7 linked regions of the Macaca fascicularis genome follow. The protein of the gene in region 7 interacts with the protein of the main gene of each other region in a pairwise test. Links are inferred from orthologs where the notes say so. Each region holds a gene or a part of one and is shown on either strand. Other genes may lie near its edges.

Region 1 (4,057 bases), on a different chromosome or scaffold from region 7:
AAAGGACTGTGAAAGAGGATAATTTGCCCTTAGCTGGTGCAAAACTGCCTGGAATTCAAATGAACTGCTCTTGTTACTCACAGGGGAGGCAGTGGGGGCCACCAGTGGCATAGCAAGGGAATCTCTGTGTTCATGAATTCTGGCTGGCTTTCTGTCCAAATGTTTCATTTGCATATAGCTAGGCAAGTCTCCATCTGTAATTTGGAGATGCTGATTGTAATGACCCAAGTCGGCTTTGAGGAAGTACACAATGAAGCATCTAGTAGGATACTGGACAACAGGAGGAACGTAAAGTAAAAGAGTTATGGTGATGGCCTGAGATGAGATGGAGAAGTAAAGTATAAGATATTGGCTCTGTCTTTCTATAATTAATTGATAATATCACATTATACTTAGTGGGCAATCCAAGACAATGAATGAGGTTGATTCACCCTCAAATTAATATTTTATATTCTCCCAGACCCTTATCTTGAATATTACACCTGAGTATCACTTCAGCCTGGATTTCTGGGATAATCATAACAATTTCTAAGGGGGTGGAGAATGTGCTGCTGCAATTTCTCAACTAGCTTGTCCCTCTTTGATCAGAAACTATCTTCGCTGGGCAAATAGTGAAGTGAAGGAAGGAGCTGGTGAGCCTCCAGCAGTAGATACCTGCTGTGTTAGGAAGTTAGGATGTTTCAGTTTTCTAACCTCAGTGAAAAAGCACAAACTTTGAAAGACGCAAACTTCCTTCAGGGAAATGAAACCTTCAGATTTACCTTCTATTGAAAGGATTAGTGACTAAATTCTGCTGATCAAAAAGGCATGAGGCACCAATTCATCCAATTCACTCCCTTATTGTGTTACTATGATCTTGCCCAGTCTCTGAAACTCAAAGCTCAGTTGTAATTTTAAGTTTATTTTTAAAAAAGTGATCAAACCACCCTTTAAACCCATTGTTGACATAAACATACTTTTAAAAAGAAATGTTATTTTTCTCCTGAGAATTTGTTGAAGGAAGTGGGGGTTTTTGCTACAACAAACCTAGCTCATTACAGAACTGGTGTCTTAACCTTCAAGACGGAATAGTGATGTTTATATTCTCATTGGATGGTGGTACTTCCTGTGTTTTATGAGAACATGCTGAGCTTTTATGCTGCTAACTGAGGGTAAAACCCAGGTAAATAAACACCATAGAAAGCCGAAATTGAAGGGTGTATGTGTGTGTGTGTGCGGTATTTCAAGCAGGAAAGCACAATTCTTTTAAACCAGGAAAAGAAAAAACAAAACAAATGTCTCTTAAAAGCACAAATGGACAAGTCATTAACCAGCTCCTTTGGTCTTGTGTAACAAATCCCTTCAAAGGATTAGAGGGGGACTTCAAAGGAATAAAAATTCTCAAAACCAGACAGCTAATGACTCTTAAAAGGGCATTTGCGTTGACAGGAAAATGATATCTTAAACACCCCTTGCTACCCATGTTAACACTAAAGAATTGGTGAGAGATAGAAAAACATTCCAAACCAGTACGAGGCTCAGAAAACAGATGCGGTCAATGCTCATTAGAGCTCTGGTTCCCTGACCCCAAACGCTTTTGAGACTATGCTAAAAACTACGAGACTCTACTCCCTAGAAGAATTCACCTGTACACAAAATGGTGCATTAACTTTCGAGGTTCACAGGCCCCCATCGGTGGACCCCGAGGAGGGCTACACGTACTCAGATTTACTCCGGATTTCGCTGCTCTAGAAATCCCCGGAGGCCCAGAGCCAGCTCCGAGGTGGACCGTCGGACCCCTCACCCGCCCGTTACCCGCGCGGCTGGCAGCGGCTCCACCTGCGGACCGGGGAGGCGGCCGCTGGGGACCCTGGAGGCCTCCACTTGGAATGTTCCCCTTTCCAAGACCAAATGGACAAAGAGAAAGGGCCGAGAAGGAGAGGTGAGAAGGGAGCCGAGTCAAGCATGGAACGCTCTCCGGACTGCACCTGCACGCCGCCAGGCTCCCCTTGTGCCTGCTCCCGTGCAAACTTTCTGGCCCGCGGTGGCTTTAGGCAGCGTCCTGATAGCCTGGAGTGGCCCGCAGAGGCGCCGAGCCGACCCCTCTCCCTGCCGCCCACCGCCCAGTCCCTCTCCCAGCGCCCCCGAAGTCACCCGGGAGGAAGAGGGAGCCCAGCGCTCCGCACAGGGGGCCAAGAGCACGCCGCAGGCGCGCACCTGGAGTCCCCTCGAGGGCCGCCCGGGTCCCCCAGCCGCTCCGGGACGCGAGGCCGTGGACACCGGGGGTGGCAGGGGCAGGGGCGCCGCACTTACTCTGAAGGGTCCAGGCTCTTCCTTTCGATGGCCGAGGACATTGGGGAGGGAGGCGGCGTGCCGGGCGGCAGGGGCGCTCCCTTTGTGGCGCGGGGCTGGCCGGCTGCCGGGGCTCGGACCCCCTCGGGTGCTCGGGCGCCGCCGCCGCCGCTCCTGCGCCTCCGCTTGCTCCGGCGCTCCGGCGGCGAGCTCGCCCCTCCGCGCTCAAGGACAGTCACCGCGCTCCCTTCAAATGCCAAAGAGAGAGAGCGAATCACCGGGCTGCGGGCGCGCCGCGGCCGAGGCGGGGGCCGGGGCGCGCAGCCTGGCCCTGGGCGGCTGCAGCTGCTGCTGCTGCTCAGGACTTAACCTTCCATCCCGGTCCCGCCGCCTCCGCCGCCCGGTCCCTCTCGCGCGCTGTCGCCGGCTCCGCGCCGCCCGCGGGGATGGTGCACGCCCGCCCGGCCGCCCCGAGCCCCTCGCACCTTCGGCCCGGGTAGCGGGCGCTGCTCGCCGCGGAGGGCAGAACGGGGGCGGCGGCCTGGGGGCGGGGAGGGGACTGTGCGTCTCTCCCCGGGCTTCCTCCTCTCTCGGGAAGGTCTATTTTCGCTCAGCTTCCCTCTGTCTCTGGTTTCATTTCCTTTTTCCTGATCACGATTCAAATACAATAGAAGGAAATCACATTTAAAGAGACAGCTGCCCGGTTCCCCCACCTCCCCTTTTTTCTTCTTCTTCTTCTTTTTTTTTTTTTTTTTTTTTTAACGGGGCTCCTGGGGATTAGCAATACAAACAGCAGCATCAGGACTGACTTGGCTTCTTAAAGGGGCCAGTGTCGGGGACGGGGAGATCCGCTCAGCTAACACCTCTCCTTGGAGAGGAGGCTGGGCAGCCACTAAATAATTCTTCAGGGCTTCCCCCCTTCAGCCTTTCCCTTTTGGTTTAACTAAGGCAGAAAGTAACCCACGAACAGCTCGAGCAAGCAAGAAAAAACAAGAATGTGAAATAAGCACCTACAGAAATGCAAGTGTTCCGAGTGGATTTTGAGCCCGTCCCAGGTTCGAGATCCCAGGTCCACGGACGCCGAGCACCGGGATGCCCCGGACAGCGCGGCTCTGCGGGCTACCGGCTGCGGGCTCCAGGCTGCGGCCGCGCTCTGCAGAGGCGATGGGGGTGCGCGAGCCGGGACTGCACGGGCTGGGGACGCCTGAGCAGAGTCAGGGCAGCTAATCCCAGAGGGAGGGTGGCTGGGAGGGACTTCGTGGGGCCAGGGCTCCTCTCAGTAGGCTGGTGTCGGAATCCCCTCCCTCAGCACCTTTCAGAGAGCGGACTCCTGCGGTTAAACTGCCCCCCATGTAAAGTGCCAGTAGTACCCCGACCAGAGAAAGTGTTTTTTCCAGTGATCCAGAACAGTATTAGGGAGATTATTTTGCCCTGGGTCAGGCACAGAGAAAGAAGGCGGACTTGATTTGGGGTTTCAGGCTTCCCCTCTCAGCCTCCTTCTAGAAAGAGGTAGGAACACAGAGGGTAAGAGAGGGGAGGCCAATAGTCTGCCCTTCCATGGAGAAAACGTTTGTCTCTCCTGGGCCTCAGAGGTCCTTGAAAATATCTGCGTTCAGAAACTGAAAGGCCTATTTGTGCGTGATGCCAGTCACTAAGGCTTGCAAAGAGGGAACGTACTTTCAGGATCCATAGTTTTATATGATCAGTCTGGATCATAGGCATACATTTTTGTTCCCATTTTCAAGATGGCACATGGGCCTGGATGAGCTCACCCTGAAAGATGGTA
Region 2 (4,267 bases), on a different chromosome or scaffold from region 7:
AGCCACCGCGCCCGGCCACTGCACTCCAGCCTGGGCGACAGAGCGAGACTCCGTCTCAAAAAAAAAAAAAAAAAGAAATCAAGATGGAGACCCAAGCCAACCAGTGAAGAAATCAGAGCCTCTTTCCTGCACTCTTCCTGCCTTTTTAATGCCTCTTCCCCAAGCCCTGTGCGCCTGGCTATCAGACCCACTGTGGCAGCTTACCCAGCTTTACTTTTAGATCCCTCATGTGTGGTGGTCTCAGAACAGTATCAGATTCTTAAGACTTGGATTCCTTCTGTTTTTTGTAGGATCCTGTCCTTTCCATACTAGATTATTGTATAAACTGATCCCTCCTAAGGTAATAACAGTTTCTAACACAAATTTGCAGTTGCCGGGCGCGGTGGCTCAAGCCTGTAATCCCAGCACTTTGGGAGGCCGAGACGGGCGGATCACGAGGTCAGGAGATCGAGACCATCCTGGCTAACACCGTGAAACCCCGTCTCTACTAAAAATACAAAAAATTAGCCGGGCGAGGTGGCGGGCGCCTGTAGTCCCAGCTACTCCGGAGGCTGAGGCAGGAGAATGGCGTAAACCCGGGAGGCGGAGCTTGCAGTGAGCTGAGATCCGGCCACTGCACTCCAGCCCGGGCTACAGAGCAATACTCCGTCTCAAAAAAAAAAAAAAAAAAAAAAAAAAATTTGTAGTTTAACAGGGCACTTTGGAAGCATATCTGCAACTTAGAAGTGACTGACTCCTTTCCCACAGCAAGCCAAAGTAGTTTAATCTTTGGGAAGGCACACAAATGACACTCCCACTGGCATCTCGTTTATATAGATTACTCTTTTATATAGATTGCTCTTTAGAGGAGACACACATTCTTTCATTTGGTTCTCATAGAGCTGAGATGGGAAAAAGAGACAATTATTATAGTTATTTTACAGATGAGGAAACCGAGATTTAAAGAAAGTGTGTCCTAACACCACCTAGGGAGTGGCAGGGAATGGATCCTAATATGTAACTCTTAAATAGTTTTTCTCCATCACGCTGCCTTGTTGCCTACTGAAAACTGTGTTGAGGGGTAGGTTATAATGAACAAAATCAGTCCTAGCACTCTGATCCTGGTTCACATTCAGGGTCTCAGTCTACCTTACTCTGGATAACTTCAAGTTGTTTACTGGAGAAAGACTGGTCACAAAAGGTGTTGCTAAAGATGCTCTCATTAACAATTTTATGGTAGATTAAAGAGATTAGAATTCCAAAATATCCAGGGATTTCAATTAGTCCTCAATCATAAGTTTTGTGTTTGAGAAGCTTTGGACACATGGTATTAAGAAACTTTTTCTGGCCGGGCGCGGTGGCTCAAGCCTGTAATCCCAGCACTTTGGGAGGCCGAGACGGGCGGATCACGAGGTCGGGAGATCGAGACCATCCTGGCTAACACGGTGAAACCCCGTCTCTACTAAAAAATACAAAAAACTAGCCGGGCGAGGTGGCGGGCGCCTGTAGTCCCAGCTACTCGGGAGGCTGAGGCAGGAGAATGGCGTAAACCCGGGAGGCGGAGCTTGCAGTGAGCTGAGATCCGGCCACTGCACTCCAGCCTGGGCGGCAGAGCGAGACTCCGTCTCAAAAAAAAAAAAAAAAAAAGAAACTTTTTCTATCTGCAGATTGCTAGTTTAAATTCAAGATTCCTTTTTTTTTTTTTTTTTTTTTTTTTTTTTTTTTGAGACTGGGTCTGAGATCTCAGCTCACTGCAACCCTCGCCTCCCAAATTCAAGCAATTCTCCTGCCTCAGTCTTGCGAGTAACTGGGATTACAGGCGCGCATCACCATGCCCGGCTAAATTTTGTATTTTTAGTAAAGACGGGGTTTCACCATGTTGGTCAGGCTGGTCTCGAACTCCCGACCTCGTAATCTGCCTGCCTCGGCATCCCAAAGTGCTGGGATTACAGGCACGAGCCACCGCGCCCAGCCAAGATTCCCATCTTTTAAGTGAATAGAGCAGATGGCAGACCCTGCCCTCCACCTGCTAGACTGGTGTCCACAACAGATTTAACACTGAAAACTGATCAGTGAAAAGGCTGTCTCGCTGTACCCTAAGGAGCCGTTTAGGAAACACTGAAACCTCAGTGATTTGCTTATCTGTATCCGTGTCTGATTTAGCCAGTGAACACGTGATGGTTTTAAACACGCCTCTCTCCAGCATTATGTTGAGATCCACTTATAACCAAGATCTTAAGGTAATAACGAAACACACCTGACAGAACAGTTTTCCTCAAATTATAAAATCTATCTATCTATCCATCCATTCCCGAGATGCTAGAGAGTAAAGAGTAAAATTCTATACTTTGCACTCGCCAGAAACAGAGTAACATAAATGTTGTCTAGGAAACTTTTACAACTGACTCTCTGGTGAAAATTAAAACACTTTTCAACGCCTCGATTTAGAGTATTTTTCGTGAGCGTAGAGAAGGGGCTGGGCCAGGACCACCAAGTAGGGAGTATGTGCACAGGGTCCCGCGTTTACCAGCCTGCCCTCAGCTGGGCGGGGACCCGGACAGCCCTCAGCCAGCACCCAGCCCGTGCGAGGTCCCAACCCACGTCCCGCCCCAGTATTACCGACGCCTCAGCGGACTGCGCCACTTTCTCCTCCTCTTCGTCCTCCAAGATCGCCTCTGCTGCCGCCAGGGCCTGTAAGGGGTCTTCGCGTTCGTACTGGGCGACCCGCGCTCTAGTGATGGGATTTACAGGAGTCTGGAGACTGGAGGCCACCAGCTTTGCCGCTCGGTGGGAGGCGGCCATCGCCCCGCCTCCGGGACCTGAGCGCCTGCGCTGGCCCGGGGCGGGAAAGCTGGTGCGGTCCCTGGCGACCCGGGGGCTCCTAGCTAGGGAGCCGGTTGCTATGGGCGCCGTAACTGGGGACACTACAGGAGCCGCCAGGGACCAAAAGTCACACAAACTCCTCTCAGGCTGCCAGAGACCCGAGTCGGGTGCTTACTGGATCATGGCGGTCAGTACCGAGTCTGTTTGCTGGTTCCAAAGGTTGGCAGGCTGAACAGGGCACTTTTCCTCTCCTTTGCGTTTAACCGCCTGAACGCAGACTTCTCACATTATACAATGAAACAACTGCTTTTGTGAAGAAAAGAGCGCTTTTTTATTAACTGCAATAATATGTTAGAAGGAGACGGTTGATGGAGGAGACGGCGGCGGAGGAGGAAAGCAGGGCGTATTACTGGGTGGCGGCCTCTGAAGAGTGGCAAGGTTGGCGTCGCGCTACCTAACATGTCTCCCGCGGGAGCCAGCGTGGGAAGGAGGGAGGTGCATTCTACTCTGATTTACTTGAGGGCTAGTAGGAATCCACCAATCAGAAGGAGGCTCCCGGTTGTCCCTCTCGCGTTTTTCTTGGCCTGACCAATAAAAGCCCAGAGTTGGGTGGTGCCTGACCCTCCCACTAATGAGTGAGGGTGCAGGTAGTGTAAACCTGGCGTTTGCTTTGGGTTCATCAGCTTGAGAGTGACAGGATTGAACGGCGCGAGTGCCCAAGAGTCATCACAGACACACCCATCTCCCTCATCCGTATCTTCTCTTTCCACTCGGGATTTGGACGCATCAAATGGCGCCTTCCCTCTGCACCACGTGGTCGTAAGAGAAGCCAAACCTCAAAATAGCGGACGTGGTGCAGTCTCAGGCATCTGCTCCATAAGCCCCTGCTTACTGAGGCCGAGGCTGCCGCTCCCTATCTACTCCCTCCCTATCTACCCCTCTCTATCCTTTGCCCTCCTCCCGCTCCCCAGCCCTAGGACAGGCCCCCTCCGGTCAGTATTTTCCTCGTTATGCGTTGCACATCGTCGAGAATCCATCTCTAAGGTCTGAGCCCTTACCAAACCTTTGTTCTCCTGTATGGGTGTGAGCACCAGCAAAGTCTCCCACGTCCCCACTTCCTTCAGGCTGCTCTTTGTTTTGGCTAAACAGTTCCTTCCAGTGCTGGAACAGATGCTGGCTGGGTTCTAAGCAGAAGCCAGAGCTAGAACCATGGGATATGGACCGCCAGGTATGGCCAAGTGTCCAGGGGAGCAATTTCCAGTCAGTCACGGCAGCCAGTTTTGTGGCTACAAAACTGCCTCAGCCTCCGGAGTGGCTGGGATTACAGGCGCCCTCCCGGGAGGCGGAGATTGCAGGTAGCCCGGATCTTGCCTCTGCATTCCAGCCTGGGCAATAAAGCAAGACTCCGTCTCAAAAACAACAACAAAAAAGTATTGATAAGGAATTAGAGCACATGAATTATAAA
Region 3 (4,050 bases), about 110 Mb from region 7:
AGTGGATTAGCAGGAGTAGGAAAGGCTGGTCTGAAGCACACGTTTCATTGCCTTCTCAGAATTACTCCTGTATAAACAAAGCCTCAAGTTGCTGGAGGGAGCAGTGCTTCCTCTGAAATCACGGAGATAGACCAGATTTAGTCATCAAGTCCTCCTTGCGATTATTCAACCCATATCAGGAGGTACAGAGGTTTTTAGGGTTTAGTGTATTTTTAACCAAACCTTTACTTGCAAGACTATCAGGCACTTTCGCAGCCCACCCTGCACCACTCAGCCTTGGCGCCGCGCCCTCCTCGCCTCTCACGCGGCAAGGACCTGAAGCCCCCGTGTGGCCGCTGCCGTGCGTACTCTCCAGATCCAGGTGAAGCTTGTGAGGTCTGGCGACGCCTGAGCGCCGACAGGTGGCCTCGCCCCGCCTCTTTGTCGCCCAGGGCGGCGTTCGCCTACGCTCCAGGCCCGAAGCCGCAGCCCGCGCGCCAGGCACGGCTCCCCCGACCGGTCTCAGGATTTGGGCCGCCTCCCCGGGGAAGAGTGGGACTCAGCCAGGCACCGGGCCGGCCTCTAGGAGCCTGCGCCAGAGGAAAGGGCATCTGGCACCCGACCCGGGCCAGGCCCTTGGACTAGGGCGGCACGGAGCCCAGCGCCTGGGCACGTCCAACCCTGTGCATTGCCCCTCAGCCTCTTGAACCCTTCGCCTCCACGATCCCCGGAAACCATCCCAGCATCTGCTGCAGTGACCTCGGGTCTCACCGCCCGCGGGCCACACAGCTCGGCCACCCCCGGGCCCCAGAAGGGCCGAGGGTCACCCGAGCTGACGAACCACATTCCCAAGGACGAGCAGCGGGTGGCAGCACCGCCCCCGCACGAGCGCCCTCGGGTCCCTTTCTGTCGGGGCTCGAGTGGCTTGAGTGTCCCGGCCCCTCCAGAATACGCAGGCGGCCGCGGGAAGAAATTCACCCGGACCCGTCCTCTTCCCCGAACTTCTTCGCTCCTCTCCGAGGTTCCTTCTACCCGACCCCTCTGCGCCACCAGCTCCTCCCACTCCGCTCCCCTCCCCTTTTTCTGGTCCCCACTTAGGAATCCGTCCCCCCTCCCTGCGCCGGGTCCGGGGTTCTTCCCCCCGGCTCCCCCCGCGTGCCGTCGCCGCCGCCCGGGTTCCTCTCCCCCCGCTCGGGCGCTCCCTGCCAAGCCCATGATGTAATGGTGTATGTTAATCAGTAGCATGTGGGGAGCTCCGGCTCGGGCGACTCAGTCCTCCGCGAGCCGACACTGGAGGCAGCAGCAGCAGCGGCTGCGGCGGCCCCGACTCGAAGCGCCGCACTCTCCCCGCGCCGCCCGCCCCGACGGCATGGCCGGCGGCCCGCGCTCCGGGCGCCCCCAGCCCCGCTGAGAGCCGCCGCGGTCCCGGACCCGCGCAAGGGCCCCCGTGCCGCCGGGATGAGCCGCGCAGAGGTGAGCGCTCCCTCCCTACGGCCCTCGGCGGGGGACCCGCCGGTCACTGGGGTCCCCTCCCCGGGGGCTTCCCCCTCCGCCCGAGAAGTTCTGGGAGTCGGAAGCAGCGTGTTGTTGGAAGCGAGTCGCCCCTTGAAGGCTGAGCCGCTGTGCTCTTCTCCCCGCCGGCGGCGGCCACCAGAACCGAGATGGGACTGGGGGAACCCCCGCAGCCGAACTTTCTTCTTTGCTGTCTTTGGGGGGCGTGTGCCTGCGGCGTCGATTCGCATTCCCCGCGAGGCCGCCCCGCCTGCCGCAGGGGGTAGCGCTGCGGACCCCGGCAGTCCCTGCGCGCGGCGTGTGCCCGGGGCTGTGCCACCCTCGGCCTGCGACGCGCGGGCGAGGCGCCGGGCCGGACAGACCCGCCCGTAGGCGGCGGCGGCAGGATGCCTGCCACACACGCGCGCACACACACGCACACGCGCGCGCACACTGACCACTCCGGCCAGAGCAGGCCCTGAGAGACCTCCCGGGTGGGCTGGCGCGGCGCGGTGCGGGGGAGCCGGGGCTCTGGGTTGCGCCGCCGCCCGCTGGGCGCGGAGCTTTGGGTGGGGAGAGTTTATTTTTGTCTCGAGCTGCTGCCGCGGCTGCTCACGGCCTAAATCCAGAGGGGCGCCTGGCGGTGGAGATGCTGGCTGTTGCTGTAGATGGAGCTGCAGCCACTCGGCTGCTTCTCTGGGAGGAGGAGGAGGAGTAAGAGGAGGAGGAAGGAACTCGGGCTGCCGCTGCCTCCGCCTCTGCTTTGCATTAGCTCCCACCCCCACCCCCGCGCCCCTTCGCAGCCGCATTGCAAGTTTTCTGCGCGGGGAAGATCTGTTGCTGGTGCTGGCGTTCGCAGGCACGGCGCCCGAGGCCACCCCGGGCGGGGCGTGAGGGGAGCACCAGCCGTTGGCAGCGGCAGCAACAGGAAGCCGCGGGGTCTCCTCCCGCACCTGGGAAGCAGGCTTTTCGCTATTCCCCAGCCGGGAATAACCCATCTCCCGCATCGGGTGCGGAGGGGGCGGCCAGATTTCGGGGAACCCAACCTTCCGCGGGACGCCCCCACCCCCGACCCCCTCTGATGCCCTGGTCCCCCAGGGCGCGCTCCTCCGCTGGCCGAGGTCTCACTGCAGCTCTTTTTCTCCTTCCAGTGGTGATCGCCGCTCGGGAATGCGGGCGTGAAGGGTCCGAGCTGCCGCCCAGTGGGGAGGAGACCCCAGGACGCCGGAAATCACCATCCCGAAGCTGCAAGAAGGGGGGAGAAAGCATTCTTCATTCAGTTGTGTGCCTTGTGGGGGATTTTTAAAAAGTCGTTATTTTTTTTAAAGAAACATTTCCGTGCTACTGTCTGTCATCGTCTCTGGGGAAATCAGCCAGAACCACCGGAACGTAACTGAAACCAGACGAGAGAGGCGGGAGCCCAGGCAGTACCTGCAGCGTCCGGGCACCAGAGCCACCTTGGAACGGGAACGCGTCTCCGGCTGCGGGGCTGCGGCTCCGCCAAACTTTGGGGCGGGCGGGGCGGTCTGGGGCGCCCAGGGGGCTCTGTAGACCGAGGGCGGCCCCCTAACCATGATGTTTCGCGACCAGGTCGGGGTGCTGGCGGGCTGGTTTAAGGGCTGGAACGAGTGCGAGCAGACTGTTGCGCTGCTGTCGCTGCTCAAGCGCGTGAGCCAGACCCAGGCCCGCTTCCTCCAGCTCTGCCTGGAGCACTCGCTGGCCGACTGCGCCGAGCTGCACGTCCTCGAACGCGAGGCCAACAGCCCCGGTAAGTGCGCGGCCGCCACCGTCCCGCCCGCCCCTCGCTTTCCTGCCTCGGGCCAGGCCGGGGCCCGCCCCCGCCAGCCGCTCCGCCAGGACCCGGACCGCGCGGCCCCCGAGGCCCTCGCAATCCGCTCCCTCCTTTACCCGCCCCCCCTCCCCGCCCACTTACCTCCGCCGGCCGCTTTGGGGTTTTGTCCACTGTGAACTCCATCAGCCCCTTCCGTGTGGTAGCTACCGTAGCATGAATGATTGATTTTTCTCTCATGCAGTTTCCTGGGAAATAAGTAAGTCACGTCACGTAGAGTCTGGATTTTCTGGGTGTGTGTGTTTTTTCCTTCCTCCTTCTTCTTTTGGGCAACGTGGCTCGCTGGATTTCAGCAACACATGATAGATGCCCGGGACTGCCCTTCAGAAGCCAGGCTTGGATAAGGCTGTGTGGGGAGTACATGAAAATCCAATTTTATTATTCGGTTTTCCCCACGGATATTCTGGTTTTAGAGCTTCGTCTTCAGAATAATATGCAGGTGACGCTACAGACTAGTAAAATGACATTTGCAGTATGTGTATTATGGGGTTAAGCTTACCGCTCGTGACATTATCCATATTGATACAGATCTTGTAGAAAGGGTCTTGGAGAAAGGACAGGCATGAAGTGGGTTCCCTAATGCTTCTCGTCAGGAAACTTTACTGAATAGAACAGAATCGTTTCATATTACCCTGCTAGTATTTACAGACACCTCAACTAGTATGGAAAGTGAATATAGTCGAAAGGTCCAGCAGTTTCCTATTTGCTAGCGTGGGTGGTGACAGACTGAA
Region 4 (4,088 bases), on a different chromosome or scaffold from region 7:
TCTTATTTATTTTTTATTTTTAGGCCACACATTTTAAGTGGAAAGGTTGGAAGAACAGAGACTTCTCAATTCTGATTTAAGGGCAAGAAGTTTGAGGGAGGAATGGGCATAGAGAGAGCTGAGCTTCCAGTATCAATATGGTGAGGCCAGGTGCTAGTTAAAATGCATTTATTGAGTGTTAGGTATACTTTATGAGGAGTCTGAGAGAACAGTACATAAATAACATAGTGCCAGCCTTTGGAGACATTGTCTACCAATATCACGTGAAGTTTAATCTAGCTTGGAACGTGGCTCCTGAGGCAGCTGTCTCTCTGACACCCAGGACCACAGGAGATTGTTGTTGTTGTTTTTAGAGACAGGGTATCACTGTGTCACCCAGGCCTCAATGCAGTGGCTGGATCATAGGTCACTGCAGCCTTCAACTCCTGAGCTCAAATGATCCTACCACCTTAGCCTCCCGAGTAGCTGGGACTACAAATGCATGTCACCACAGCTAGCTAATTATTTTCTGTGGAGACGAAGTCTCACTTTGTTGCCCAGGCTGGTCTTGAACTCCTGGGCTCAAGTGATCCTCCTGCCTCAGCTCCCAAAGTGCTAGGAGTATAGGTGTGAGCCACCATACCTGGCCTTTTCTTTATTTTCTTCATTTATTTTTAAGTATCAGGGATTTGTAGGCTAGGGAAATTGACTTGCCAAATGTCCTCTAGCTGGTAGCCAAACTAGAAAGAGAGTCTCTGTCTCCTGACACCCAGTCTAGTGCTCCTTCTTCTTCATCGTGCTGCTGCTTCTAATGTAATCCTACTCTGGAGCAAAATGGCAGAATGATATCCCAGTACATCTGGGAAGACACATGAAACAACAAGAATAAGAATGTTTACAGACAATACGACAGCATGGCCAGCTCCCATAGCATGTCCTCTGTAAAGGCTTTCTTCCATCAGAATGAACCCACACTGCCACAGTCCTGGGTCTCTACTTCTAGTTTGCACTTCTTCATCTTGCCTCATACTATGCTTTACCATCAGTTGATGGTCAATCTATCTCCCCTCTTAGGATTTTAGATTCCTTATTAATTACAAATTTAAGTCAGGATTTGTCTTATTCATTATTGTTATCCTCATCCCTAGCACCTAGCACACTGCTTTATTATCTAAGCACTGCAGGAACTAATAATTGCTTGCATAAAAATGAGTAGGTTCTGGAAACTAGGGCCGAAATAGGGTAAGGAGTTTATTCCAGTGAAGAAGGGTCACTAGCAAGCCAGCCTGAGAAAACAGCGAGGATGGATCCCTACCTGCCTCTCCGCCCTGGCTCCTGCCTGTCACTGGAAACATCCTGTTTCCACATGGTCACTTGAGGTCTCTGGGTGTCTAGTCGCCTCTCTGAGACATCTTGATGGCCTGGGGGTTGGACCAGGGGAATGTCTGAGAGCCAGGTGGGAGCCATTCTCGGCAGAGTTGAAAGGGGCCGAGCTTGAAAATGGGAGGGAGGAATCAGCCCAGTGGAACCTGAAGAATTACAAAATCAAAGATGGTCAGTTTCCCAGGCAGAGACAACCACCACTCCCCTTGTCTGGTCCCACTGACCTGAAGGTGGAAACATCTCCACATTATTTGAAGGCTCTAGATTCTGTCTCCAGCCATCTATGTTCCCCTGGACAATAGGAGAAACAAAGACACTCCAATTCAATTTTCAGGCCACCTTCCAAAGAGAAAGCCCCTACAATAACCAAGTCATAATCCTTGAATTACAGCCAGGTCCACCCGATGCTCAGCTCTTTTCCTACTTCCCCAAAGAAGTAGGAGATACCCCAAATTCACTTGCTTGTCTCAACCTGGTTCCTCAGGGAACCCAGGCAACTATCAAGTGGAGAGAATTTACTGAAAAAGACAGACCGAGAGGGGCTCTGAGGCTTTACTCATACTTTCAGGATTCTGGGCAGTGCCTTTACCCTCCTCCTTAAGTTTCTATGGTCCCTGCTGCCCCTGGCCAGAGGTGAGAAAGGAGGTACACAGTGCAGGGGTCTTGAGCGCCATCTCCAGAGTTCTCTCCATGGCTCAGCAAGGCCTGGGGGAATCCCATCCAGACACCACCAGGCCATGACTCTTGGGTCCTTCCCTATTAAAGTGCTGGCCCAAGGCCTGGCCCCAGCTGAATGTGGCCACATGCAGGGCTAGACCCTTCCCAAGACCTTGGGAATCCAAGCAGCCTAGATCCCCAGGCAGAAAAGCCAGCGTCCTGACATCTCATCCAAATCTTTACTGCGGCTGTCCTCTCAGCTTCTCTCTACTATCCTCTCAGCTTCCATGCCTGCCGCCCGCCTCCTCTTTCTCGAGTCCTAACACATAGTGGGCACTTTAAGACCTTCCCCCCACCCTCCCACCCTCATTAATCTATTTTTTACCCGAATCTGGGATCCCTACTCCGGTCCCTTTTTACATCCTAATCTACTTTTTTCTGAAGGAATTGTTCTGGTCCTCACCCTCACCCCCATCTCTCAATAGTCTGCTCTCGCCCCCTGTACGCTAGCCGGCTCTGCTCTCCCCCCACTGCTCCCCTAGATACCCAAGGCTGTTCACCCAGTTGGCCCCTGAGCTCTTAGGCTGTTCTGATCTCCTCATCTACCCCTTCACCTGGCCCCTGTTCCCCCTTCCCCTTTGGACCCCTTGAACCCTCCCAGCACCCCCGCTCAACCCCTTCCCGCCCACAACCGACTCTTCCCGAACGTCCCTTACCCACCGCGAGAACCCCTACTGCGCCTTGACCACACCCCCTACGCCTCGCTCCGGGCCCCGCCTCTGCCTCGGCCTCTGACCGCGCCTGCGCAAGGCGGGGGCCCTAAGGTCCTATCTCCCTGTAGGGAGGAGGAAAGGTGTACGCAGGCGCAGTGGCGTCTAAATCTGGGCCCACAGAATGTGTCGACGCCTGTCCGCGCCCAGGCGGCTCCTCCCCACTGCGGGAACCCGGGAAAACTTGTGAACTAATCAGAAAAAGCGGAAGGCGGGAGATCTTAGGGAGCCGTCCAATGGCGCGGAAGAGAGCAAATGAGCTGGCCAATCAGAAACGGCACGGGGGCGGGCTCGCTCGGCGCGAAGTTCGGGCCCGGGAATTCCGAAGGAGGGGTAGGCGCTGCCCGCGCGCCGAGGCCGCGCCCCTCCTGGCCCCGGCTTCCTGGCTGTCAAACAGCTGCAGCAGTATCGGCTACAGCAGAGGAGCCCAGGGGGTCCCAGGACCCGCGGCACAGGCTGGCACTGCTTGAAGAGGAGGCTACTCGGAGACTGCACCGCGCTGGTAGATCCGAAACGGGGCTGGGGCCGAGAGGGAAAAGGCCGGGTATGCCTTGCATGATCGCGGGGAGCCCCTTCCTGTTTTTATCCCACCTAGAGAAGCCGGGAAGTAGGGGTTTAGGTCCAATTTGTTGGAGTACTTAAGAACTCGTTTGCACTTCCTTTTGGGGGATGACAGTAGATTCATTGCCCTCGGAGGTTCAAACTAGTTATGAGTGAGGGATTGGCCAGAAGATCGGGGCGCAGGCAAGCGGGAGTGCTCTATTAGGATAAGCAGGTTTGACAGGAAGAAGCTGCTCTTCTCCGAATTACACAGAGGTGATGTGTTCGTACTGCACGTAGACGTGTGTATAACAGGACCTCCCCCCCGCGCCCCGCCACACCGACACACACAGGAGCTGCCTAAAGTATCCTTGCCTTGCAGATTGGAGGCTCCCCAGATATTTTGCGACCTGAGGATCCAGCTCAAGTGAGGTGCCACAGGACGTGGTCCTGAGTTTGCATTGCACGGAGACCTTCCTGGAATTTTTCATTTGCAAGTCGGCTTAACAACCGATTCTGCATTGAGTCCTAGGCTGCTTGCACTCTGAATTTGGACTATTCAGGTAGTGTGCTCAAAGTTGAAACTGCACACAGCACAACTCAAGTTTGCATCAGACTGGTAAGCGAACTTAAGCCAGCGGTGCGTGGCCCAGGAGTGGGAAAGGAAATGGATCCCTAAAGTGGAAGAGGTGGTGCAAAGGGGGCACCGCCCATGCTGCCCTGCTTCCAACTGCTGCGCATCGGGGGCGGCAGGGGCGG
Region 5 (4,286 bases), on a different chromosome or scaffold from region 7:
CTCCTTCCCGCCGGTTCCAGGGACTATGCTCCAGCAGTTCCACCAGGAGGCAGGGCAGGTTGTGTGTGCTAAGCATACGGCTCAAGGTGCTGAGAGAGAGGCTAGGGGCAGGGACGTTGTGAAGGAGGTGAGCAGAGGCAGGCTACAGGCCCAGTCTTCCAGCCCTCCACGGTAGGCCCAGGCCCAGTCGGACTGCCCACCTGTCCACACAGTCTGTGATGTAGCGCAGTACTGAGAGGGCCTTCAGTGCAATCTCAAATTCCATCAGCTCTGCCTGCTTCTGCAGCTCCTGCGAGGTCACACAGTGTTCATGCTGGGCTACCCTTGCCTGTGCAGGCCTTGGGGAACCCAGACCTAGGCTTTCACAATCCTAGGTAACCTCAACCCACCTGCATGGGGTTGCTGTCCTGGGACCCCTCCCCTTCAGGGGGGCCACCACAGCCACTCCGGGCCACCAGCAGAATCAGTTTGCGGTGGCAATAGTCTACCAAGTCCAAGACAGTGTCTTCTGCTGACTCACACACCTCCTGGGGAAAGGGGGAGGGAAACTTTCTGTGTCTGATGCCCTCCCCACACAGATACAACCTCCCTTCCTGCCAGGCCCTGACCTGAAACTGTGGCCCATGGGCAGAGATAGTCCCTCACCTTGTGGAAGAACACTGTCTCCAAGAGGTTGATGATGGAGGCCTCGTGGTGCACCTGACAGACAAAGAGAGGGACAGGGCCTGTGGTAGGGATAGGGGCTACCAGCTCCCCTCCCCAGTCCAGAGCCCTCTGAAGGAGTGGGAGGAGGTATGAACCAGGGGCCCAGCTCACCACCATGTAGATGGGAAAGGTGTTCTGGGGCTTGAAGTCCTCCACCCTGCAGAGCACGGGGAACACCTTCTGCTTCCACATCTCCACTGCGATCAACTCCTCCACCAGTGTTGGGACCTTTGAAGGATGGGGTAAAGGACAGGGATGAGATGGGCCTACCTTTGCCTGGCAACCCTCCCATCCCCAGCTTGGCTCAGCTCAGCCCAGATCTCCCCAAACACTGCTGGGCCCCTAAACTATCCCAAACCCCATGGCTATCCTTCCTGACTTTTCTCTTGCATTTCGGACCTTCGTTTCCAGCTGCTCCCAACACCTCTGTGGATGTCCCTCATGCTTATGTGACTGGCTCCTGCCCAGTTCCCAGACTGCCTTGCCCTGCCTGCACCTGCCCCGTTATCCTCTCCCCGCCCATTCAGGCGTCCCTTTCAAGTCAGCCCTTCTGCTCATGCCCTCCCTCTTGTCCCTGTCCTGTGGTTCTCTAAGGCTCTTGTGTGCCTTTGGCCTCACTCTTACTCAGGACCCTTCACAGTGCCCTGTTCTTCTTATCCTATCCCCTTGTATGAGTTCCACCTTTCTCTTGCAAAGGAACTCTTTTTTTTTTTTTAGACAGAGTTTCACTCTTGTCACCAAGGCTGGAGTGCAGTGGCACGATCTCGGCTCTCTGTAACCTCTGTCTCCTAGGTTCAAGCGATTCTCCTGCCTCAGCCTCCCGAGTAGCTGGGATTACAGGTGTGCACCACCATGCTCAGCAAATTTTTGTATTTTTAGTAGAGGCAGGGTTTCACCATGTTGGTCAGGCTGGCCTTGCACTCCTGACCCCAGGTGATCCACCCGTCTTGGCCTCTCAAAGTGCTAGGATTACAGGCATGAGCCACCATGCCTGGCTTTTTTTTTTTTTTTTTTTTTTTTGGTCAATTGATATCTCAGGTCATCTGCTGGTGACACTCCCTGGTCCATGTTCCAGCCAGCCATCTCATTGGTTTCTAACTTTCCCCTCTCATGTTAGGAAGGCTGCCTCCTTCCATGCCAAAGTTCTACTTCCAGTTAAGTTATCTCCCCTCCCTCCTGCCCTCCCCACCCCCTCCCCAGCCTTACAGTCAATTCACAGATGCCTTTAGCATTTGGGCCTTCCCCTCGAAGCCTAAGCTGTTTTAGGACCTACAGCTTTCTCCCTAATCAACTCATGCCCTGTACCTAGCCTGGTGTGCCAGAGTCCTGTCCAACAGCGACACAAAATGAAACATGTAACACATTCCTCTCTCCCCTTCAGGGAGGACAGGTGTACCAGGCCAGAGGGGAAAAGCACACAGGGGACTCCTGAGGGTTAGAGTAGGTGAGGTATGGGGGAAGGCAGGAACCCTGCCTGTGACCTCGGGGTACCTTCCCATGGGTGACCAGCAGCTCCTGAATGGGCTCGCCCTGGCTGATTGTGGCATCGAGGATGGCTTGCATGTTCAGCTTCTCCAGGTTCTCGTGCTGCTGGTTCCACCTGCCTCAGAGGGTTGTGTAAGTGCATGTGGGTCCACGTGTGTGCATTTGGAGTGGGGATGGGGGCTGGATCCTATTGAAGCCTAACCTGATCCTGAGGGGACACAGGGGGCTCAGGAACAATTATATTCCTGTCTCGGAACACTCTGCTCCCCCATTTGGGAGCCCCTCCACACTGGGCAGCCCCTCCCCCCATGTCAGGCTCCAGCTCCCCCACTCAGGGACAATGACTCCGTGACTCCGCCTGACCCGGGTGCCTCACCCTTCGGAGCCCATCTCGCGTAGCGGGAAGCTGCGCAGACCCCGCACCAGCACTTCAGCTTCCCCGGGCAGCAGCAGTTCCAGGTCTCCCATATCGAGGCCGGGGTCCGGCGGATCCTGGGCAGCAGCCGGGGTGGGGATGCTGACACACTCGGGGACGACGGACCCCGACGGTGCCAAAGTCTGGGACAGGACAGTTGTGGGACGGTTGGGGAGCGTGAGTTCTCGCAGCCATGGAAACGGGTTAGCCGCGCCTGCGCAGTGCGGCTTGGGCTCCGCCCCTGGAGGTGGCTCGCGCCTAAATCCGGGCGGGTCTCCAGCCCGCCTCGCCTACGGGGCTGCCAATCGCCACAGTATTTGGATTCCCACAGCTTTCTCGCGATGTGGACCACGAGTCTCTCCTGAGCTCCAGTTCCTTGTGGTCTGGACTCTGCCCTCGGACGCCAAGTCGGCTTGCACGGGGATGGGGGTAACCCCGACCCCACGAGCTCCTCCTGCTGCTGCTGCGGCATCTTGACCCACCCGCTGCTCCACCTCCTCCTTATGGCTTCCTGATTCCTCTGTTTCTCGCGTCCCGGCTCCATTAGTTGGCTCCTGAAATACTGCCAGGGCGCACGACTTCTCTCCATCCTCCCTATGTCCAGACTGTCATCACCTGTCGTGGGTTAACTGCGGCAGCCTTTTCTGTAGACTTACTTCCACGCTTGATCCTCACGGACAGCCCCGGAGCCTTAAAAGTGTGTATCACGCCGGGCGCGGTGGCTCACGCCTGTAATCTCAACACTTTGGGAGGCCGAGGCGGGCAGATCACTTAAGGTCAGGAGTTTGAGACCAGCCTGGGCAACATGGTGAAACCCTGTCTCTATTAAAAGTACAAAAATTAGGCCGGGCGCGATGGCTCAAGCCTGTAATCCCAGCACTTTGGGAGGCCGAGACGGGCGGATCACGAGGTCAGGAGATCGAGACCATCCTGGCTAACACGGTGAAACCCCGTCTTTACTAAAAAATACAAAAAACTAGCCGGGCGAGGTGGCGGGCGCCTGTAGTCCCAGCTACTTGGGAGGCTGAGGCAGGAGAATGGCGTAAACCCGGGAGGCGGAGCTTGCAGTGAGCTGAGATCAGGCCACTGCACTCCAGCCTGGGCCACAGAGCGAGACTCCGTCTCAAAAAAAAAAAAAAAGTACAAAAATTAGACAGGTGTGGTAGCACACACCAGTTGTCCCAGCTACTCGGGAGACTGAGGCAGGAGAATCGCTTGAGCACAGGAGGCGGAGTTTGCAGTGAGGCAAGATTCCACCACTGCACTCCAGCTTGGACAACAAAGGGAGACTCTGTCTCAAAAAAAAAAAAAAAAAAAAAAAAAAAGTGTATAGGCATCATTCCCTCACATGAGAGGGGCTCTGCAACTACCTCTGGCCCTCAAAATGCTAGGTCGGGTGCTGCTTACCAGCAGCTCTGCAAGACCTACTTCTTGCCTGTCTTGTACCTCGGGACTTGGATTCTTTCCTCTCCTCCTTTCTTCCCTGGACCTACCTCATACATTCCAAAGAGGTTTTGCCTCAGGGTTTTGCACTTTGCCTGGAATACTCTTCCTTCAGGGCTCAGTTTACATCTCAGTATGGCCTTTCTTGGCCGTTTAATCCAGAGCAGTCCCTGCCTCCAACCCCCTTTTTTTTTTTTTTTTTTTTTTTTGAGAGTCTCAGTCTGTCACCCAGGCTGGA
Region 6 (3,500 bases), on a different chromosome or scaffold from region 7:
AGGCTTTGGTTTTTAATTTAGCTGGTGTGCTGCTTCTAACTCTGCTCATTAGATACAAAAATTGTAAGTTGGGCTATTTTTCCAAAGTCTAAATTTGCCTCATTTCAGACTCAGTGTGGACATATGGAACTTTTCTATCTTATATTATATTGATATTGATTTTAGACTGGTTTCTTACTGCATTATTCTTCTGACCTCTGTTCTTTGGATATATAAGATAACCACTCAGTTTTCTCTTTATTGCAGAGTGTGTGTCATAGCCTATTTAATCATTATTGCATTTTAAAGACACATAAACTTAGATGCGATTTCAGAAAAATTCATTATCACATAAAAATATTTCATTTTAACTTTCCTATATGTCTGTTTATTGAATTTTGGGATAGTAAAGTTTGGTTGTTTTCATGCCCTTACATGGTAATTCCTTTTTATTAAATCTTTATTTGATACTTCTATAATGCTCCACTGCCTTTGTATTCACAAAAAACTGCTAGAAAAGCTGTTTTAAGTTAACATTTGATTTAATGCGTTGGGATAATTGAATGTGCTTATAGATTCCTGTCATTCTAAAGCAAATAGTGTATTGAATCTTCTCATCATTCCTTATTTTGTATTGTTCTAAGGTACATTTTATATTGGAGGAAAAGGTTCACTGAACAGCCTATCACAGATTTTTGTAGTGTGATAAGAATTAATTCCACAGCTCCATTTGGTAAGTGTACATCCTGGCTACCATCTTTTCCCTACAGTATAAAAATTCAAAGGAATAATCTTACTGTCTTATATTAGAATTGCTTTTACTTTCATGATAGAGAAAATTAAATTGATGTGTTTATTTTGCCTAACTCGAATAAAACTAAAACAGTTCTTTGCCAAAGAGATCCTAATAGACACACACATCTGTAATTTTTACGAAATAAGTCCTTCTGGGAAAAAAATGGTAAATATCTTTTGTCTGATTTGTTTTCCTGATCTCTCAACAGAAGAACAAGAGAATTATTTTTTGTTATGTGACGTTTTACCAGAAGACAGAATTCTTAGAGAAGAGCTTCAGAAGCAGAGACTGGTAAGAATTGTTTTTAAAGGGTGAATAGTGTCTTGAAAATACATATAAATACATATAAAATCTTTTTTTTTTCTTCTTTTTTTTTTTACTTTTTGTTATGGAAACTTTCACACAGGTAAAAGAGGAGACAATACAAAAAGGTCTTAAAACAGAAAAAAGTATACACTTGACTGAAAATTAAAGCATTTTATGTTGAAAATGCAGAGAGAATTTTTGGCTTTGTTTTGCTTCCTGGATTATCTCTAAAATAACAACAGAACTTACACATTTTAGTGTAATTTTAGCTGCCTGACACATGCTAGGGTTCAGTAGTCGTGGAAAAATGCCCTCAGCTAAAATTGAGTTGAATTGATTAACCTTTTTTTCTCCCCTTCACTGGAATGTGCTATGCACTAGCGTTTTTTTAATTTCCCTTTATGAATTAAGCATATGGTTTAATCTACATAGTAGCCTTTCTGGTTTTCAGCCTTAACCATAAGCAAGCTAATTTGAAAACCTCAGCATATTTAACCTTTAAAAAAGATGATAGCACATACAAGCATGAAAATTTTTATTTTATTTTATCTTATTTATTTTATTTATTTATTTATTTATTTTTTGAGATGGAGCCTCACTATGTTGCCCAGGCTGAAGTGCAATGGCGCGATCTCGGCTCACTGCAAGCTCCGCTTCGTGGGCTCATGCCATTCTTCTGCCTCAGCCTCCCGAGTAACTGGGACTACAGGCATCCGCCACCACGCCCGGCTAATTTTTTGTATTTTCAGTAGAAACGGGGTTTCACCATGTTAGCAAGGATGGTCTCGATCTCCTGACCTTGTCATCCGCCCGCCTCGGCCTCCCAAAGTGCTAGGATTACAGGCGTGAGCCACCATGCCCAACCGAAAATTTTTATTTCCATTAGTTCATCAGAAAATAATGTTTTTAATTGTTAATTTTGTTTAAAAGCACATGGGTTCTCATCATTTGTAATTTAATCTCGACTATTACTTGAGGTTGACTTGCTGTTCCTTTAGTGATTTCTCATAAATCTTTCTTGTATCTTTGGGCTTGGCTAAATATGTTATAAGAGAGAGATGATTTAAATATTTGTGCTATATCCTCAAGAGATCTAGGAGAAAAATAAATACTATTTACCATAGTCATATAATTTAAGAAAGTCCCTGGAAGCATGTTTTATTTTGTAGACATCCCAAATGATTTTTTATTCCAGTATGGGAAGGTGATACCGATGGATACTGATTTATATGTAAGAAAAGTTATGCTTTTCCTGTACAGCAACAGCAGTAAAGAAACAGGACTTCCTGAGTTTCTCTTCTCTCCTTACAGCAGTGTCTTATGAAATATGTAAAACAAGGGTAAATGTACTATCATGTCTTATGAATGTTATTTGTGTGCACTTATTCGTAATTTTCAATTTACATGAATTTTCTCACTGTTGCTAACCGTGGCCTTAAGAATGATCAAAAGCCATCAAGGATTGATTTATAAGAACTCAAACCCTACTACTTCAGCCATTCTTGTTCTTTAGTATGCAGAATCTTTACCATATGTCTGTAGATGGACTTAGGTCTCTAAAAATACCTACATATACTGCATTTAAGTTACCTTTTTTACTTTACAGTTTGATAAAGCAATACATTTAATAAAAGTGAGCATTATGCCAGCTTACAGAAACAAAATAAGAATAAAAAGGCAATTAATCCATACATGTTCATTGAATTTCTGCTTAAGTTAGATGCCTGTACAAAGAAGTACAAGAGTACAAGGCATACACAAGAGTGTATAGTCTGGAGAAGAAAGATAAATATGTATTCTTACCTTGGTAGTAGAGATAATGATAAAATATCTTGCTGGGCTTATGAAGATTAAGTGACATGTAATACACTTAGAACACTGCCTGGCACACGGAAGGCACTTAACAAATATTAGCCAATAAAAATAATAGTAATAATGCTGTGTCTTAACAATGAGAAGGATTTGGATAGTTAAGAGAGTTGTAGAGAAGGGAAGAAAGATACATATGCATCTAAATGTTCAAGGTGTATTCAGAAAAATCGAGTAAAAGTCTACTCTGGCTTAGGTGGAACATTTTTTATGGGGAGTAGTATAAGATAAATTTGAAGAGGTAAAATGGAGCTAAATTGTGGAAATCCTTCAGTGCCAGAAACTTGACTTTGTAGTAATAAAGACCCATTAATGTACCCTCATTGCCCATCAGTGGCATGAAGAAAAGAGTAAATGTAACTGTGTATAAATCCATTTCAAGCTGTCAAACCCTGAGAAAGATCAGACCAACTTGGGGATTGGAAGTAAGCTAACAATGACTGATGATCAGCCACAAGCCATGCCTTGTATTTGGTTCTTGCTTCATAGCACCCTGTGAGGTGGCTATTAAATGCCATTCTATTTATGAGTAAAATGTGGCAGCTTAAGG
Region 7 (2,506 bases):
CCCCAGAGGGATGCACAGGGATGGGAACACTCTGCCATCCCCCAGCAGCTGGGACCTGCAGCCAGAGCCTGCAGCTCTCCAGGGAACTCCGGGACCCTTGGGTATGGAGAGGAGAGGGTCTGGGAAGGTTATAAACCAGGTATCGCGACTTCGAGATGGCCATCTAGGAGGTGCAGGGCTGCCTGGGCGCTGCCTGGTGGCTGATAGGACTTCAGAGGCTCTGCCCCTTTGTTGGCAGGAAGGCTTCCAGCCTGACAGCACTCCCAGTTTGGATGCTGGACTTGCAGAGCTGGCTCCTCTGCAGGGACGAGGGTTAGAAAAGCAGGTCCTGGGATCGCAGAAAGGACAACAAACGGGGGGCCGTGCAGAGCTTCCTCAAGGGAAGGAGCCTTTAGCAGTGTCCCAGGAAGGCTCTGCAGGAGCCATGTGGGGAGATGACAGAGGTACCCCCATGGCTCAGAGTTATGATCAGAATCCTTCCCCTAGAGCAGCTGGGGACAGGGACGACGTCTCTCTCAGCCCAGGACTTTGGCTGAGCGGTGAGATGGCTGCTGTAGACTTGGAGCTGCCCGTACACACAGAGGAGGTCATAGAGAGCTTCCAAGCGGAGGCGTGTGTAACTGAGTGTCAGGAAGGCTGCCAGGCACTGGGCTCCAGCAGCAGCATTTCCCTGGGTCCTGGAGAAACCATAGTACCTGGGGGTATGGAGAGCAGTGTGATTCCTTGTGGAGGCACAGTTGCGGCAGCTGCCCTAGAAAAGAGAAACGATTGCAGCTTGCCAGGACCTTTGAGGGCCAACAGCCCAGCCTTGAGGTCCAAAGAAAATCAAGAGCAGAGCCGTGAAACCACAGGGGACCCCAGTGATCTGCGGGCAGGAGGCTGCTTCCCATTGCTGGAAAGCAGAATTGGCGGTTCCACACTGGGGTCTTCCAAAGAAACCCTTCTGCCCACATGCCAAGACAGTGTCCTTATCATGGGGACCGAGGATGCCTCCTCCTTGCCTGAAGCCAGCCAAGAGGCAGGGAGCAGAGGCAATTCCTTTTCCCCTCTGCTGGAAACCATAGAACCGGTCAACATACTAGGTGTTAAAGATGACTGTGGCCTCCAACTAAGGGTCAGCAAGGACACCTGCCCATTGAATGTTAATTCTTGTGACCCCCAAGGAGGAGGCAGGGTGGATCCTGACCTGTCCAAGCCTAAAAACCTTGCTCCTTTACAAGAGAGTCAGGAGTCTTACACAACTGGGACCCCCAAAACCTCATCTCACCAAGGCCTTGGAAGCACTTTCCCTAGATGGGGAACCAGGGACGCCATAGTTCTGAGAGAGACTTCTGTTACTAAAACACGCAGGTCAGCAGATAGGGCCAAAGGAAAGGAGAAAAAGAAGAAGGAAGCAGAGGAAGAGGATGAGGAACTCTCCAACTTTGCTTACCTCTTGGCCTCTAAACTTAGCCTCTCACCAAGGGGGCATCCTCTCAGTCCTCACCATGCCTCAGGTCAGGGCAGCCAGAGAGCATCCCACCTGCTCCCTCCCGGGGCAAAAGGCCCCAGCAAACCTCCATGCCCCGTTGCCAAGTCTGGGAAGCGAGCTCTAGCTGGAGGTCCAGCCCCTACTGAAAAGAGATCCCACTCAGGAGCTCAACTTGGGGTCCCCAGGGAGAAACCCCTAGCTCTGGGAGTAGTTCGATCCTCACAGCCTCGTAAAAGGCGGTGTGACAGTTTTGCCACAGGCAGAAGGAAGAAACGACGTCGTAGCCAGTAGGGAGCAGCAGGACCATCTGACCCCACTTGCCAGTCCCTAAAGGTGGGTGCCCCAGAGTAGATTCCAGCCCTGCTGCCCACCAGTGGAGATCCCAATGTTGAATCTCATCCCAATGTTGTTTTGTTGTTCTGCAAAAGTGGCAAGCATGGAGAGAGAGGTCAGACTGGCTAGGCTGCAGGGGGAGTCACCTTTGGAAGCAGCTATAGAGAAAGAAAACGAATAAAGTGTTTTTGTTGGAAAATGCTCTCAAAGTGCCTTTTTCTGTACTCATGTCTTTGCTGCTAGATAGGGTAAGATGTTATAAAGAAGACTGTAGGGGTAGGTCTTAGATTCTACAAATCCATAGAGCTTACCTTGTCTCCAGCCTTATCTTGGCTCCTTGCAGCCTCCTCCTGGCAACCGACTGGCTCTCAGGCTGTGATAAGTCCCCAAACTGAGGAATCTCCAATGATTGCTTTATACATCCCCTCTTCACAAGCCTGGACTTGGTGTCAGGAAGGCTTATCTGGGCATCTTTTAATTATCTGCCTCCCTTTAAGTCTATAGATAGAAAGATGCTTTTCTACCTGTTAGATCTCTGAGACAGAGATCTAATTTTCTTCTTTTTTTGAGACAGGGTCTCGTTCTGTAGCCTAAACTACAGAGTGCAGTGGCGTAATGATGGCTCACTGCAGCCTCAACCTCCTGGGCTTAGACAATCCTCCCATCTCAGCCTCCCAAGTAGCTGGGACTACAGGTGTGCAC

Evidence for each region.
Region 1: the proteins of NUTM1 (region 7) and LMO2 interact in binary tests that used the Homo sapiens proteins (3 or more experiments, as listed by UniProt). The two-hybrid records come from large-scale screens. The link is inferred for Macaca fascicularis from reciprocal best matches to the Homo sapiens genes NUTM1 and LMO2.
Region 2: the proteins of NUTM1 (region 7) and FAM161A interact in binary tests that used the Homo sapiens proteins (3 or more experiments, as listed by UniProt). The two-hybrid records come from large-scale screens. The link is inferred for Macaca fascicularis from reciprocal best matches to the Homo sapiens genes NUTM1 and FAM161A.
Region 3: the proteins of NUTM1 (region 7) and SAMD4A interact in binary tests that used the Homo sapiens proteins (3 or more experiments, as listed by UniProt). The two-hybrid records come from large-scale screens. The link is inferred for Macaca fascicularis from reciprocal best matches to the Homo sapiens genes NUTM1 and SAMD4A.
Region 4: the proteins of NUTM1 (region 7) and CCHCR1 interact in binary tests that used the Homo sapiens proteins (3 or more experiments, as listed by UniProt). The link is inferred for Macaca fascicularis from reciprocal best matches to the Homo sapiens genes NUTM1 and CCHCR1.
Region 5: the proteins of NUTM1 (region 7) and ZMYND10 interact in binary tests that used the Homo sapiens proteins (3 or more experiments, as listed by UniProt). The two-hybrid records come from large-scale screens. The link is inferred for Macaca fascicularis from reciprocal best matches to the Homo sapiens genes NUTM1 and ZMYND10.
Region 6: the proteins of NUTM1 (region 7) and ZNF277 interact in a two-hybrid assay, tested with the Homo sapiens proteins (2 studies listed by BioGRID). The two-hybrid records come from large-scale screens. The link is inferred for Macaca fascicularis from reciprocal best matches to the Homo sapiens genes NUTM1 and ZNF277.

Annotation. Positions count from the first base shown.
Region 1 is NC_088388.1:31,709,523-31,713,579, reverse strand, and holds the start of LMO2 (rhombotin-2), read right to left. Parts: upstream 2,801-4,057; 5' UTR 2,649-2,800; coding exon 2,642-2,648; intron 2,519-2,641; coding exon 2,293-2,518; intron 1-2,292. UniProt on the Homo sapiens protein: Acts with TAL1/SCL to regulate red blood cell development. Also acts with LDB1 to maintain erythroid precursors in an immature state.
Region 2 is NC_088387.1:60,064,820-60,069,086, reverse strand, and holds the start of FAM161A (protein FAM161A), read right to left. Parts: upstream 2,801-4,267; 5' UTR 2,782-2,800; coding exon 2,599-2,781; exon of another isoform or gene 1-2,598. UniProt on the Homo sapiens protein: Involved in ciliogenesis.
Region 3 is NC_088381.1:122,421,576-122,425,625, forward strand, and holds the start of SAMD4A (protein Smaug homolog 1), read left to right. Parts: upstream 1-1,250; 5' UTR 1,251-1,452; exon of another isoform or gene 1,453-2,480; intron 2,481-2,621; 5' UTR 2,622-3,042; coding exon 3,043-3,238; intron 3,239-3,414; exon of another isoform or gene 3,415-3,518; intron 3,519-3,631; exon of another isoform or gene 3,632-3,665; intron 3,666-3,818; exon of another isoform or gene 3,819-3,990; intron 3,991-4,050. UniProt on the Homo sapiens protein: Acts as a translational repressor of SRE-containing messengers.
Region 4 is NC_088378.1:141,510,780-141,514,867, reverse strand, and holds the start of CCHCR1 (coiled-coil alpha-helical rod protein 1), read right to left. Parts: upstream 2,801-4,088; 5' UTR 2,168-2,800; coding exon 1,925-2,167; intron 1,720-1,924; exon of another isoform or gene 1,654-1,719; coding exon 1,587-1,653; intron 1,509-1,586; coding exon 1,295-1,508; intron 1-1,294. Other genes in the region: TCF19 (transcription factor 19), read left to right, coding at 4,042-4,088. UniProt on the Homo sapiens protein: May be a regulator of keratinocyte proliferation or differentiation.
Region 5 is NC_088376.1:113,378,520-113,382,805, forward strand, and holds the start of ZMYND10 (zinc finger MYND domain-containing protein 10), read right to left. Parts: upstream 2,801-4,286; 5' UTR 2,659-2,800; coding exon 2,567-2,658; intron 2,306-2,566; coding exon 2,197-2,305; intron 934-2,196; coding exon 817-933; intron 700-816; coding exon 646-699; intron 528-645; coding exon 390-527; intron 290-389; coding exon 201-289; intron 102-200; coding exon 1-101. UniProt on the Homo sapiens protein: Plays a role in axonemal structure organization and motility. Involved in axonemal pre-assembly of inner and outer dynein arms (IDA and ODA, respectively) for proper axoneme building for cilia motility.
Region 6 is NC_088377.1:153,813,481-153,816,980, forward strand, and holds part of ZNF277 (zinc finger protein 277), read left to right. Parts: intron 1-623; coding exon 624-712; intron 713-983; coding exon 984-1,066; intron 1,067-3,500. UniProt on the Homo sapiens protein: Probable transcription factor. Involved in modulation of cellular senescence; represses transcription of the tumor suppressor gene INK4A/ARF, perhaps acting via the Polycomb group (PcG) complex PRC1.
Region 7 is NC_088381.1:10,645,633-10,648,138, forward strand, and holds the end of NUTM1 (NUT family member 1), read left to right. Parts: coding exon 1-1,762; 3' UTR 1,763-2,006; downstream 2,007-2,506. UniProt on the Homo sapiens protein: Plays a role in the regulation of proliferation. Regulates TERT expression by modulating SP1 binding to TERT promoter binding sites.